Linked DNA regions of Macaca mulatta. The protein of the gene in region 3 interacts with the protein of the main gene of each other region in a biochemical or structural test. Links are inferred from orthologs where the notes say so. Each region holds a gene or a part of one and is shown on either strand. Other genes may lie near its edges.

Region 1 (4,519 bases), on a different chromosome or scaffold from region 3:
TGAGCCTGGGGTGGTGAGAAAGAACCCTGCAGGCTGAATGTGCCAGCCAAGAGTGGAGGGTGGTGGGAAGTGGGGGGAGGGGTGGCCTGGGGTTTTTGATTCCCCCCAGGGGATGTCCCCTCCCCATCGGCGCTGTTCTGAGGGCCTCCAAGCTCTGGCATAACCCACAAACCAACCACCAATAGTGGCAGTGGGGATGAGACTCCCAAAGGGGCAGCTCCCATCCCTCTTTCAGGGCTCCTAGAGAATGTGGGAAGAACACTTGGGGCCTGCCAAGGCCCTGGGAGTCTGTCCTATTGAGCAGCCAAGAGCAAAGGCATGCCCATTACTGCCAGGCACCCAGGGGGATCCTAGCCCCACCTCCTCCCCTCCATGCCTGCAGAAGGCCTCTCCCCATCAAGGACCACACAAAGTGCCCCTCCCTGTGCAACCAGGATGGGGCAGCTGGCCTGCAGGGACCCCCAGGGAACACGGCGCCAGTCAGTCACATGGCCACAGACCAGCTCACCCTCACGATCTGCTTCCCTCTTTCACTTCTGCAAACTTGGGGTGGGGTGCAAACAGAATGGAGGAAGGGCTGCCGTCCCCTGCAGCTTCGTTTTGAGAAGTTCCTGGCTTTCCCCTTTCTCACCCCATCCAGCTCCCATACAGGAGGAGAGCACCCCTAGCCCCCCTCTACCCAGTGAAGGGCAAATATCTCTCCTGAGGACACACACACCCCTTTCACGCTACCCAAGCCCCAGCCTCTGGCAGCCTCTGGAGTAAGGAATGTCTGGGCGAGGAAGGCAAAGCAGGTGTCCCAGAACCTGCGTGGGGCAGGACGGGTTCTGCGAAGTGGCGGGGCGGGGCGGGGCAGCAGGCGGAGGAACCTGAGGGCAGGTCGGGGCAGGCCACCCCCCTCGCACACCTGAAAATCCCTCTCTGACAAACAGCTGGAACTCCCCCACGCCCCCCTGAGGGTGGGAACTTCTGGGAAGGGGGCTGGGTGGCAGGGGCTGACTCAGCCTGCCAAACCCGGCTGGCTGGCGAGCCGGGGGCGGCCGCGTGCACGTGGCAGGGGCGGCGCGGGGGCGGGGAGGGGGGGCTCACTTACTTGGATGGGCGCCGTGCTGAAATGGATCTTCCGGCTCGGGGCTGGGTCCTCCTCCTCCGACAGCCCCGGGATCTCCACGCACCCCGACTCGGGCTCGTAGGGGGGCTCCCCATCCTCCTCGTCTTCTTCGTCGTCCTCCTCTAGGGCACTGCCCCCAGAGTCCTCCCCGAGCCCACTGTAGGCGCTCACGTCCACCAAGTCCGCCTCCGAGAAGTCCTCCTTCTTGGATTCATCTACTTCCTCAGGGGCCACGTCCGGGGCCCGGCCATTGCCCACCCCCCTCTCTGGCGGCGCTACCGCCGCCGCCTCCTTCTCCGGGGCCACTTGGGCCTTTGGCTGCTCGGGCGCGGGGCTGGCTGCGGTTGCCGCGGTGCTGCCATTCTCCAGGGCCGCGTGGACCGTAACCTCGGCCTGGATCACCTCCCCGGGCGCCGACTCGGCCTCCGACTCCCCGCTCTCCTCCACCTCCACCGGCTTAATCTTGCGCACCTCCCGGGGCTTGGGGGGCGGCCGGGCAGGGGCCACTCGGTGCTGCGGGGGCTGCTGCCCTCCGGGGCAGCGCTCTTTCTCCGCCGGAGCATCCCCCGACGGGGCGGGCGGCGGCGGCGGCGGCGGGGGCTGGAACACCCGGGACCGCTTGCTGACCAGCTTCGAGTTGACCTGGGGAGCCCCTGCGGCCCTGGGGAGCCCGGGCCCGCGGTGGAGGCCGGTCCTCGAGTCGGCCTTCTCGAAGACGGCGCTGAGCTGGCTGACCGTCGGGGACACGGCGTCAGCGTCCAGCTTGTCCAGCGCCTCAGTGCTGCCGTTGAAGCGCACCACGACGTCCAGCTTCCGGTCCTGCAGGCCGGCGCGCTCCTGCCTCAGCAGCCGCCGCGCCGCGGCCTCCTTGTCGCCGCCTGCGGCCGCCGGGGCGCTCCGTTCGAACAGCTTCCGCGTCTCCTGCAGCCGGGACGGCGGGTGCGGCGGCGGCGCAGGCTGCGCGGAGGGCGCGGGCTTGGAGTCGAAGCGGCTCACGCGCTCCGACACGCTGGTGCCCAGCTTCAGCAGGGCGCTGTGGTCCACGTTCTCGTTCAGGCTGCTGGCCCGCGGCAGCGACAGGCGCACGCCGCGATCGGACGCCCGCGGGGCCTCGGCCAGGCCCGCGCCGCCGCCCGCCTCGCCCGAGGGCCCCGCCGTCGTGCCCATCTGCAGGAACATACTTTTGATGCGGTGGACGTTGGAGCCATATTTCTTGTGGTGGGCCCCCTTGGGTGCCTCGTCGGGCCCGGGCGCGTCGGGCGGCTTCAGCGCCTGGATGCCCGCCTCGTAGGCGCTGCGGTGCGGGGAGGCGCTCCGGAGGGGACCCCCGGGCCCCCGTGGCTCCGTCTTCATCATGGTGGGGGGAGCCGGGTTCGCATCCCCTTGCTCCCCGCTCCCCCCCTTCAACAGGCGGCTGGCCAAGTCGGGACCACCGCCCCCTCCCCCCGATAAAAGAAACCCCAGAAGGCCTTTTTTAGGGTCCCCCCAAAACCGCTGCCAAAAACAGTTAATCCCGCTTTTTTAAAAAAATGAAAAAAAAAAAATCTCCAAGCGCCCTGTGTGTGGGTCGCCTCCCCCAGTCAAGCTGCCGAAGACAGCCAGCCCCGCTTCAAAAGCCCAAGCGGCCTGGTACGGTCGCCCCCACCCAAATTAGCAAAGCGGCGTCTGGGGCCGGTGGGAGCGCGCGCCCTGCCCGCGAAGCAGCCGCGGCGTCGCCGGCTCACATCGTCCGAGGCGGTGTCAGTGGGGCTGGCAGCCCGGGCGTCCCCCAGTCCGGCCGGAGGCCTCGGCTCTCGGGGGGCCCGGCACCCCAGCGCCCATGGCTGCTCCGCCGGCCCGGGCCGCTCCGCCGCCGCGCCTCCCTCCCTCCCTCCCTCCCCCCCGTGCCCCGAGCCTCGGTCTTTCTCTGGCTCTGCCCGAGCGGCGGCTGCCGGAGACCGAGCGGCTGCCCTTCTCGCCGCCGCCGCTGGGGGACTGGCACCTCTGGGTCCTAAAGGGATCGGATTTCCGGGGCCGGAGCCTGTGAGCCCTCCCCTTCCCCTCCACCCGAACGGATCCCCTCCCCTCCCCAGCCTTCGCTGAGAGCCTTCCTCTGCCCCCGGACATTGGCCAGCCGTCTTCAACCCTTCCATCACAACCTCTGACTGCGGCTTATCACAACCCACAGAACCGCACCCCCATGAAATATTGGGCGGAGGCAGTACATCCACGATGGTCTCAATGTGAGGGGAGGGGGGTCTGTGGGGAGGGGCAGAGGTTCATTCTTCAGGGTCCTCGGAGCTAGCTCTTCGGTGTGCTTCAAGGCTTTAGCATCAGAATCGCTGGGCGCTTGGTAAAAATACAGATTTCTGAGCTCTCCCTCGAACCTTGTGTAGGAGAATCTCAGAGGCTGAACCCAGGAATCTGCATTTTAACACTTCACTACAGGGACTCTTTGGCACCCTTGGAGGTGTGAAACCTTGGCCCAGTGCTGGTGACCTTTCGATGGTGGGGGAGGGGTCGTGAAGAAAGGAGGTGGACCCCGTCATCCAAGTAGCAGGGGATCATCAAAACTGCCCCTTTAGACGTCTGGAGAGGATGTCCTGTCGCCTGTCTGCTGTGCACCCGTCTTCAGGCCCCTACCCTGGCACTCCTGCGTCTCAAACCGGAAGGAAGGGTTTGGGAGCAGGAATTCTAGAGGCCTGGGGCCAAAGTTTTCCCAGTGAGAGCTCTAACTTGGGTCTCTGATTTAAAGGATCCTGGCGACTGTGTTCCGGTGGGGGTGGGGGGTGGGGAGGGTGACAGTGACCTACACATCCCCTGTCCTGGCAACCCAGAAAGCTGTTTGATGCTCTCTGCACCCCCCGCATACACACCTAAGGTGCTGGTGCTTCCTGGGCCCTGGGTGTGAGGGTCCACCCTCTGGACAGGTCCAGGTGAGCGGGTTCAGTCCACACATCCCAGAAACTGGTGAACACAATGGGCCCTAGGACCCAGAGAACAACTCAGGCACAAAGCCTCCCCCCACTCCCAGCTGCTTCCTGCATCTCAGGCCTTTCTGCGGCCTCTGCCTCCTCCCCCGCCCTCTTCCCCTCCATCCTCTTCCTCCTTTTCCTAATCTCCCACTCTCTCCCCCCTGGCCTGGAAGGGCTGGCAAAGGGAGCCCTCTTACCGCTCCACTGCAGGGGTGTGTGTGGGTTTTGTGGGATATTAACGCGTTACCATGTGCAAAAGAGCTTAGAGTACAGCGTGGGGGATGGGGTGTGGGGAAGCCGCCTGGGAACCCTGGATATTGGGATCGGGAGGGGCCAGGAACGGCAGGACTGATCCTGAGGCTGGTGCTAAGGAGGAGGGAAGAGCTAGGTTGTGAGCTGGAGCTGGAAATGAACCCAGACCTCAGACTTTCCAAATGCCACCTGCATCTTTGCC
Region 2 (4,519 bases), on a different chromosome or scaffold from region 3:
CCTTGTATTTGCTTCTTTGCTTATTGTCTGACCCCCTCTATAGAATGTAAGCTTCATGAGGTCAGGACCTTTGTTTTGCTCACTGCTATGTCCCCCGTGCCTAGAACAGTGCCTGACACAGTGAGTACAGTACTCAATAAATATTATTGAATAAAGAGATACATTCTCTTGTTATTCCCCAAGATGAGCATATTTTGTTGTTTGGGGCTGTATTCTTCAGGAGAGAACAGAAATGAATAAGCCACTCTCTGTCTCCAAGATCTCTTCAAGTGGAGGTGACAGACATGCCCAAAGCAAATAGATTGCAATAAGACTTGATGAGGAGAGAATGTGAGTCTTCACATCCTAGCATCTTTCCAGATAGAGACGGGGAGTACTCAAAAGTCTAATCTGAAACTGAACTGAAATAGACCAGAAATAGATCCCAAGTGATGGAACCTGTGCCTTTCCCAAAACTTGACTTCTAAAAGGTAGCAAACATTTTCTACTGGAGAGGGGAAAGAGAGGAAGAAGAAAAAGGGAGTTTCCTCCTTTTCTCTTGGGCTGTCAGCCAGACTGCCACTGGCAAAACGTTGGAAAGGCCTAAATTTGTCCTGGATGCACTTTCCTGATCCTAGTCCTACCAATCCCAGCCCCTACGGTCTTAAGCCCCTATGGCTTCCTCCCAAGATTCCAAAAGTAAGAAAATAACACACACCACAGTCCAAAGTCTTCTTGCCTGGAATAGCCAACCCTGGGGTAATTGTTAGGTGGAAAGCAATCTGGTTGAATTCATTCAAACACTGTAGGAATTGCCTCTTTCAAACCCTGTAGGGTTTTACTTCTTGAGGCATCTGTTTATTCAAAAGGAAAGGCGTGTGTTGAGGCATGGGCACCCTGGCAGCAGACCCCAAACCAACCCTCTTGACTTGTGCCTGCCTTTCAAGAAATGTTCCCTTCCTGAATTTCTCTAAGAAGGCTGAGTTGGGGGATGGTTGCTGATTTTTATAACATATAGCCAGTTGTTCATAGGCCTGTGTTTTAAAGAAGGACAAGCCTGAACTCACCGTCCTGCCTCAGGGCCTGGGCTCCATACCTGGGGAGTAGACAGTCTTCTACTTTCTAACAAGCTGGACTTGAAGTTTGGAGTAAATCTCCTGGTTGAGTGACAGGTGTTTCCCAGCTGAGCCCTTGGGGAGATTCTCCAGTTGGGTAGGGACATCCCTTCCCCAGACGCCTTGTGGGCTGGACTCCTTTGACCCGGTTCAAAGTGAGGGGATGCCTACCAACAGGCCGGGAAGACAGTTGACTTCACCCTCCTTGAGTTTGTCTGTCTGTCCGTCTCTGGGAATGGTCGCTTCTTGTTTTCCCTTTTCCTTTTAAGCCTCTCCTTTTTCCCCTCTTCTCTCTCCTCATGAACTACTCCGAGTCTTGGTCTCCGTCTCTCTATCTCTGGCTCCTGCATCTGTCTCGGCTTCTGGCCTTCCTCTCCCCCTCCCCTCCCCTCCCTCGCGCTGTCATTCACCCCGCTCCTCTCCGCGCACAGCCAATGGAGAGACCCGGCCGAAACCGCGAAGCTCTCTTGCACCGGGCTTTTTCGCCTGGTGATTGATGTCCCAGAGTCAACAGCGAGCGGAGCCGGAGCCGGGAAGCAGAAGCCAGAGAGGGGAAGAATACGGCCCCCCTCTCCCTCCCCTCCCCCTTCTACTTTAGCCCTTCTGCGCACTTCGCTTCCAAGTCTCCGCGCAGCCAGGAGCCGCTGTTGCCTCCCAGCCCCTGCTAGCTGCCCCCGGAGCCGAGCGCAGCGAGCGCCGCCGCCCGGGCCCCCCCGTGGGGCCGGGGCTAGCATGGAGCACCTGGGACCGCACCACCTCCACCCGGGCCACGCAGAGCCCATCAGCTTCGGCATCGACCAGATCCTCAACAGCCCAGACCAGGGTGGCTGCATGGGGCCCGCCTCGCGCCTCCAGGACGGAGAATACGGCCTTGGCTGCTTGGTTGGAGGCGCCTACACTTACGGCGGCGGGGGCTCCGCGCCCGGGGCTGGGGCTGGAGGCGCGGGGGCCTATGGCACTGGAGGTCCGGGCGGCCCCGGAGGCCCCGGCGGCCCCGGAGGCCCGGCAGGCGGCGGCGGCGCCTGCAGCATGGGTCCGCTGGCCGGCTCCTACAACGTGAACATGGCCTTGGCGGGCGGCCCCGGTCCTGGCGGCGGCGGTAGCAGCAGCGGCGGTGCGGGGGCACTCAGCGCTGCGGGGGTGATCCGGGTGCCGGCACACAGGCCGCTCACCGGAGCCGTGGCCCACCCCCAGCCGCTGGCCACCGGCTTGCCCACCGTGCCCTCTGTGCCTGCCATGCCAGGCGTCAACAACCTCACTGGCCTCACCTTCCCCTGGATGGAGAGTAACCGCAGATACACAAAGGACAGGTTCACAGGTGAGTCCGGCCTGCGCGCGCGCCTCGCCTGGCCGCGGCCCGGGCTCTGTGTTACCCTTTCCCCGCCGGCTGGCTCCCCAAAGCCGGTTCTGTGCGCCAGGTCGCCCACCTCTTCTTGGTGCTTCCCCCAAGTTGAGCCGCCCGCCCGATTCTACATCGCAGACTCGCCATGCTTGAAGAGTTCTCTCAGCCTGGACCCCTCTCTGTCTCCCAAAGGACCCCTGCTCAGAGAAGCTCTCCCTGGTCTCCTCTCGGGATCCCTGGGCCCGGTCAGGCAGAGAAGAAGGCCATAGATTGAGGACCACCTTCTGCAGCTACTCCGGGTCCGGGAATCTTAGAGAAAGGGGTGCAATGTGAACAGTTTCTTCCGTCCTGGCTGCAGTTCTAGGACCGAAGAAGCCAGCCCCAGGATCAGACGCAAGAAAAGAACAGGTTCCCCCACCTTCAGTACCCTGCACACATGCACTCCGCGCTCCTAGCTCCGGTGCCCGTGGTGCTGCGGGGCCAGCGGGAGCTCTGAGCTCCAGTAAATCAGCAGAACCAGTGGCCCTTTTTTTTTTTCCCAGAGAGGAGGCTTCGTCTGGGAGGATGGCAGCGGGGCATAGCCGCCCAGGACAGCTAGCTTTTCATTTTCGTTCTGTCCTGGCTGCATGTCCTACCCCGGGCCCAGCCCTGTTATCTTGGGCATGAATAATGCACTGGGCAGGCCAGTGATCGGTGGCGGGAGGACTACTCCCAGGACATTAGGTACTAGGTGGGCCGCTGCCGCCTTCCCTGCTGCCCACTCCTGCCTTCCTCTGCTGGCCCTGGCTCCCTCTGCTGCCGTTTCTGCTCTGGACACTCAACTCTCCCTCTGGTGTGGGTCCCTTCCCCTGTTCTCACTTCCTGCTCCCCTTAGGACTCCCTGGATCCCAGACCATGATCCTCCCGTCCCGGCTGGGAAGCAGCCACAAATTGAGCCCAGGTTAGCCAGCTGGCCTTAGAGAGAGGAGGCAGGAGACACTGGCTGCTGCTGGCAGAGACCGGGACTCCTGGGGATCCCCTGGCTCAAGGGACCAACAGTGGAAGGGGGTATACATAACTACTTGGGAGAAGCTGCTGAGAGTCAGACACTGGGCCAGGAGACCCCGAGGCACCCCTGACTCCCTGCTTCTGTTCCAGGCAGGAGCACGGTCAGGGAAACTGCTCCTGCAGCTTCTTACCAGACTCTGGGGCCACAGCAGAAGTGGTGTGGGGGCTGGTGTCCAGACGAAGAACAGTTGCTTGGGTCTAGACCTCAGGAAGGGCCCTCGCTGGAGGGGCCCCAGTGCCCCCAACCCAAGTTTTCTCTGGCCTGGGGCAGCAGGGCCTGGTGCCCATCCCATTCCCCACCCAGGCCAGGCCAGTCTTGAAGGGCCCTGCTGGAACCCCAGCCCAGAGTCTACTAATCCTGGGCCTCTGGTGAAAGGTACTCGGTTTAGGGCCTACCTCGGGGCCCTAATACTGTGTCAGGCATGAAGGAGTTTTGAGCGAGTGTATGGCTGTGGCCTTGTGTTGCTCTGTGTCCTGTGTTTTTGTCCCGTGCCTGTGCTTGTCTGGTCCTGTTTGGGTGTATAGATCTATGAGTTTGCCCCCGTTGTACGTTGTGTTGGTGTGTGCTGCTGTGGACAGAGGCTCAGGTCGGGTTCCAGAGTCAGGTTCGGTCTCCTACTCTGAGCCTGAAGGTCTGGGGCTGACTGAGGGGAGGGGAGCGTGACCATTAGCTCGCCTTAGACTGCCCCTTGGATGAGGGGCGGCAGGGTGGTGGTTGGGCTCGCGGGAGCCCGGGGCTAGGGAGGCCTCTGTGGTAGCTGCGAAGTCGGCGTTCGACTGGCGGGCAGGAGGGGGCCGTTTCCCGCCGTGGGCTTGGTGCTGAGGGCTAACGGGAGGATCTCGGCCCTGCTCGTGGGAGTTCAGCTGCTGCGCTCGCTGATTCGCGGGGTGTTGGGCCTGGGACGCTTCCTGACGCTCTGCTGCTTGCCTCTGCCGTCTGTCTGTCTCCCGCTCCAGTGGCCCTCTCACCCTTCACTGTAACACGCCGTATAGGTCACCCCTATCAGAACCGGACGCCCCCCAAGAAGAAGAAGCC
Region 3 (4,419 bases):
TTCCAAAATTAAAACAAAACAAAACAAAACAAAACACAAAACTCTGAAACCTGCAACACTTCTAGTCCCAAGCATTCCAGGTAAGGAATACTTAACCTGTATTATAAGAACAGGGCTGCTGCCTTAGCCCCCCAGTGATAGTGACTTCCTCTTTCCCCAAGGTCAGCTTCACTTCTGGATATTTTTTTTTTTTTGAGGTGGGGTCTCACTCCGTCACCCAGGTGGAGTAAAGCAATGTGATCTCGGCTCACTGCAACCACAGCCTCCCGAGTTCCAGGGATTCTTCTGCCTCAATCTCCTGAGTAGCTGGGACTACAGGTGTGCACCACCACACCTAATTTTTGTATTTTTAGTAGAGATGGGTTTTCACCATGTTGGTCAGACTGGTCTTGAACTCCTGACCTCAAGTGATCCACCCACCTTGGCCTCCCAAAGTACTGGGATTACAGGCATGAGCTACCATGCCCGGCCTTTGATTCTTTAGTTATGCCACAAACTCCAGTTTCTTCTCTTGCCGATTTCTGCTGGCCTCTCCATGAAAAATCAGTTTGCTTCCTCCTTTTGCCTCTCAGCACTTGAAGCGTGGGGCTGTCTCTTTCTCTTCTCTCTTCATATCCTCCCTAAGGCCACCTCAAACCACTAGGAACATCTGGGTCCTAAAAGGTTTAACCAGGGAAATCGTCTAGCTTCCAAATCCTAAGATTCTGAGCCATAACCTGTAATGCAGTTTCCCATTACTGTACATCAGACAGCTCCGATAGCAGAAATGGATCAACAAACACTCCTGTTTTACCCAACAACATATACCTCAGCCTTTTCATCACATTTGCAAAATTTAAACAAACAAACAAAAAAGAAATGGTAGTATAAAGTACTTATGTACCTGGAAAACAGGCAGTGGTTTTAAAATTGTCCCATGAAAATCAACATTTGAATACAACTTTTCATTTTAATAAAATTAATATATATAATATATATACTAAATGTCTGCAAGCCTTCAACCAGAAGCCACCTATGTCAAGGGCACTTTTATGCCCACAAGTAGACTGGATGGCAAATTGTATCTGCCTGATGGGAGAGAGGATGCTTGATCTATAAACTGTGTTGATGATCAAACAGGAGTCGAAACTGATACCAACCGACACTGATCTTCTAAGTCATTTTAAAGGCCTCTGCATTGAGTAGAAACTGAAACTGATGCAGCTAGTATCATTACGTTAGGATAGAAGTCACAACAATGAGGTCAAATGGATTTGAATTCATCAGTGCAAACATGAAAAGTATTTACTGGGCTAACAGTTATGTAAAAGGAACCCTTTCTTAACTCAAGAGTAACACTTGGAATAAGTATCCAAAACACAATGTTGCCTGGGTGTGGTGGCCCATGCCTGTAATGCCAGCACTTAGGGAGGCTGAGGTGAAAGGATTGCTTGAGCCCAGAAATTACAGGTTGTAGTAAGCTATGATCCTACCTCTGCACTCCAGCTTAAGGCTCTGTCTCAAAAACAAAAAACAACAACAAAAAAAACCCACCACATCTGCCTTGTATTTCACTACCTAAGGAGTAGTAACTGGCTTACTGGTACTTCTATGACACAGAATCCCTGTTAATATCGAATATCTTTCCTGTACAGGTTCAATGGTATCAGTCAGTCCAGAACCCACAGAATTTTTGTCCCTGATCATTCCTGCCACCTCATCTTACCAGCTGGATCTCAAGGACACAGACCAAGCAAACATCCAGTAGTGGGAAAGGGTGGTAGTAGAAGGGCTCAGTCTGTGAATATAATCTTTCTAGGATGCACTTCTAACAAATGTGCTAGCTCACTGCATCTATGTGAATTGAGATGGAAAAACACACATCTGGAGACTCTAAGTTAGGATGTGGTCTAGGGGAGGGCCACAGGGACAACACTTTGCTGATCTCCCTATAATCATATTAGCAAATGCCAACTACCTGAAGTTCCTTAACCACCCCTTCACTCCAAACCTGAAACCCCTCCTGGCAGAAATAAGCACAAAAGGAAGGTGAAGGTAAAGATTCAAAACCTTTTCTGACGTAAAACCCTTTATCAAACTGATTATTTTCAAAGTTTTTTTTTTTGATACGGAGTCTCACTCTGCCACCCAGGCTGGAGTACAGTGGTGTGATCTCGACTCACTGAACCCGACTCCCGGGTTCAAGCGATTCTCCTGCCTCAGTCTCCCAAGTAGCTGGGACTACAGGCATCTGACACCACGCCTGGCTAATTTTTGTATTTTTAGTAGAGACAGGGTTTCGTCATGTTGGCCAGGATGGTCTCGATCTCTTGACCTCATGATCCACCTGCCGTGGCCTCCCAAAGTGTTGGGATTACAGGCGTGAGCCACTGCGCCCAGCCTATTTGACTGTGTTTTGTCAATAGTCAAATCAAAGTGCACCTTTAAATAAACAATCCAAAATGAGTCATAAAATGCGTAAAATACTGTAAAAATAATCTTTGTTCAGCACATTTTAGTTTTAGGAAAGTTATTGCCATTCTTCCTGGGTGCGGTTATGCCAGAGGAGAAAAACCATAATAATTTCAAAAACTAATTATTTACACATTGCCAAGATTCTATTTGCATGCAATGTTCTCTAGCAGACAAAAAGTAGATTAGTGGTTGCCTGGGGGCTACGGTGAGATGGTCGCGTTAACTATAAATTTACTACAAATCACTGAATTGTATACTTTCAACAGATTAATTTTATGGAATGAAATTACATAATAAAGTTGCTTAAAACTATTTAGAATGGTTCTCAGATTTCTACCAAGAATTAAGTTATCTGTGAATACAACAATTTACATCTTAAAGAAACCACTACCATGATCATTATTTCCTAATCTGATCATCACATCATAAAAGAATCCAAGACCTTATTTTATTATAGCGGCAGTGTTCTTTTTCTACCCAAGAGAGAAAAAACTGGCTGGGCGCCATGGCTCACACGAGTAATCCCAGGACTTTTGAGTGGCCTAGGTGGGCAGATTCCTTGAGTCCACGAGTTTCAGATCAGCTTGGGCAACAAGGTGAAACCCCATCTCTTCAAAAAAATACATGAATTAGCTGAGCGTGGTGATGCATGTCTGCAGTCCTAGCTACCTGGGAGGCTGAGGCAGGAGGATCGCTTGAGCCTGGGAGGCAGAGGTTGCAATGAGGTTAAGATGGTGCTACTGCACTCCAGCCTGGGCTGTTAACAGAGTGAGACTCTGTTCCCCCACCTCCCCTAAAAAGCTAAGTTAAAAACAAGTTGATGAAATAGAAAACATGAGAGATGATACCACTGCATCTAAACTCTCACAATTCCTAACAGAAGTACGTGATAATTGTTTATGATAAATATCTTAATTTCAATAACTTCCTGAGATATAGAAAAGTACTTACATTCATCATAAAATCCATAAATTCTGTTGATGCTGGCACATTCATGGTTCCCTCTGAGAAGAAAAAAATTCTCAGGATATTTGATTTTGTAGGCCAGTAAGAGGCAGATCGTCTCCAATGACTGCTTTCCCCTGTCCACATAGTCCCCAAGAAACAGGTAGTTGCTTTCTGGCGGGAAACCACCGTACTCAAAAAGTCGCAGCAAATCATAGTATTGCCCATGGATGTCACCTAGAAGCAAGAATTTTGTTACACAGTGTTCCCATACTTACAGCTCAATCCACTAACAAAGCTTTAGAAAGAAATTCTTTAAAAATTCATTGTACAATGGCATTGACCTCTAGTAATGAGAGTTTAATTGGACAGCCAACACTAAGTAATTTCCAAACTGGCATCATATTTAGTTCAATTGAACTTAATAAAATTTTTAAGTATATGTGTATGTCCAGAACCTCACACAAAATTCAACTAATTAAGAATTTATTCTGTGGAAAGGGTTATTATGTCCAGGCATGCCTTCTTGCCAAGTAACATGGTATTCCTTTCAGGATGACTGATCAATATCAGATCCCTGATAGCTCAGTCTCTAGGTACTGTGTCAGCAGAACTGCTGCACTTTTAGCGAGCCTTGGCCCAGTCTGAGCAAAGCACATACACACATACACACGACCCCCACCCCCCACCCATCAATGCATTTAGCTTTCAATTGCTCCCTGCTAGATAATGCCAAAGAACATTTTACTTTTAAAAACATGAACACAGGCCGGGCGCGGTGGCTCAAGCCCGTAATCCCAGCACTTTGGGAGGCCGAGACGGGCGGATCACGAGGTCAGGAGATTGAGACCATCTACACGGTGAAACCCCATCTCTACTAAAAAAATACAAAAAAATGGCCGGGCGCGGTGGCTCAAGCCTATAATCCCAGCACTTTGGGAGGCCGAGACAGGCGGATCACGAGGTCAGGAGATCGAGACCATCCTGGTTAATACGGTGAAACCCCGTCTCTACTAAAAA

Evidence for each region.
Region 1: the proteins of PPP1CC (region 3) and PPP1R9B form a complex in vitro, tested with the Homo sapiens proteins (2 studies listed by BioGRID). The link is inferred for Macaca mulatta from reciprocal best matches to the Homo sapiens genes PPP1CC and PPP1R9B.
Region 2: the proteins of PPP1CC (region 3) and TLX1 form a complex in vitro, tested with the Homo sapiens proteins (2 studies listed by BioGRID). The link is inferred for Macaca mulatta from reciprocal best matches to the Homo sapiens genes PPP1CC and TLX1.

The regions. Positions count from the first base shown.
Region 1 is NC_133421.1:59,860,278-59,864,796, reverse strand, and holds the start of PPP1R9B (neurabin-2), read right to left. Parts: upstream 3,028-4,519; 5' UTR 2,468-3,027; coding exon 1,094-2,467; intron 1-1,093. UniProt on the Homo sapiens protein: Seems to act as a scaffold protein in multiple signaling pathways. Modulates excitatory synaptic transmission and dendritic spine morphology. Binds to actin filaments (F-actin) and shows cross-linking activity. Binds along the sides of the F-actin.
Region 2 is NC_133414.1:113,194,089-113,198,607, forward strand, and holds the start of TLX1 (T-cell leukemia homeobox protein 1), read left to right. Parts: upstream 1-1,428; 5' UTR 1,429-1,826; coding exon 1,827-2,412; intron 2,413-4,476; coding exon 4,477-4,519. UniProt on the Homo sapiens protein: Controls the genesis of the spleen. Binds to the DNA sequence 5'-GGCGGTAAGTGG-3'.
Region 3 is NC_133416.1:117,908,131-117,912,549, forward strand, and holds part of PPP1CC (serine/threonine-protein phosphatase PP1-gamma catalytic subunit), read right to left. Parts: intron 3,637-4,419; coding exon 3,406-3,636; intron 1-3,405. UniProt on the Homo sapiens protein: Protein phosphatase that associates with over 200 regulatory proteins to form highly specific holoenzymes which dephosphorylate hundreds of biological targets.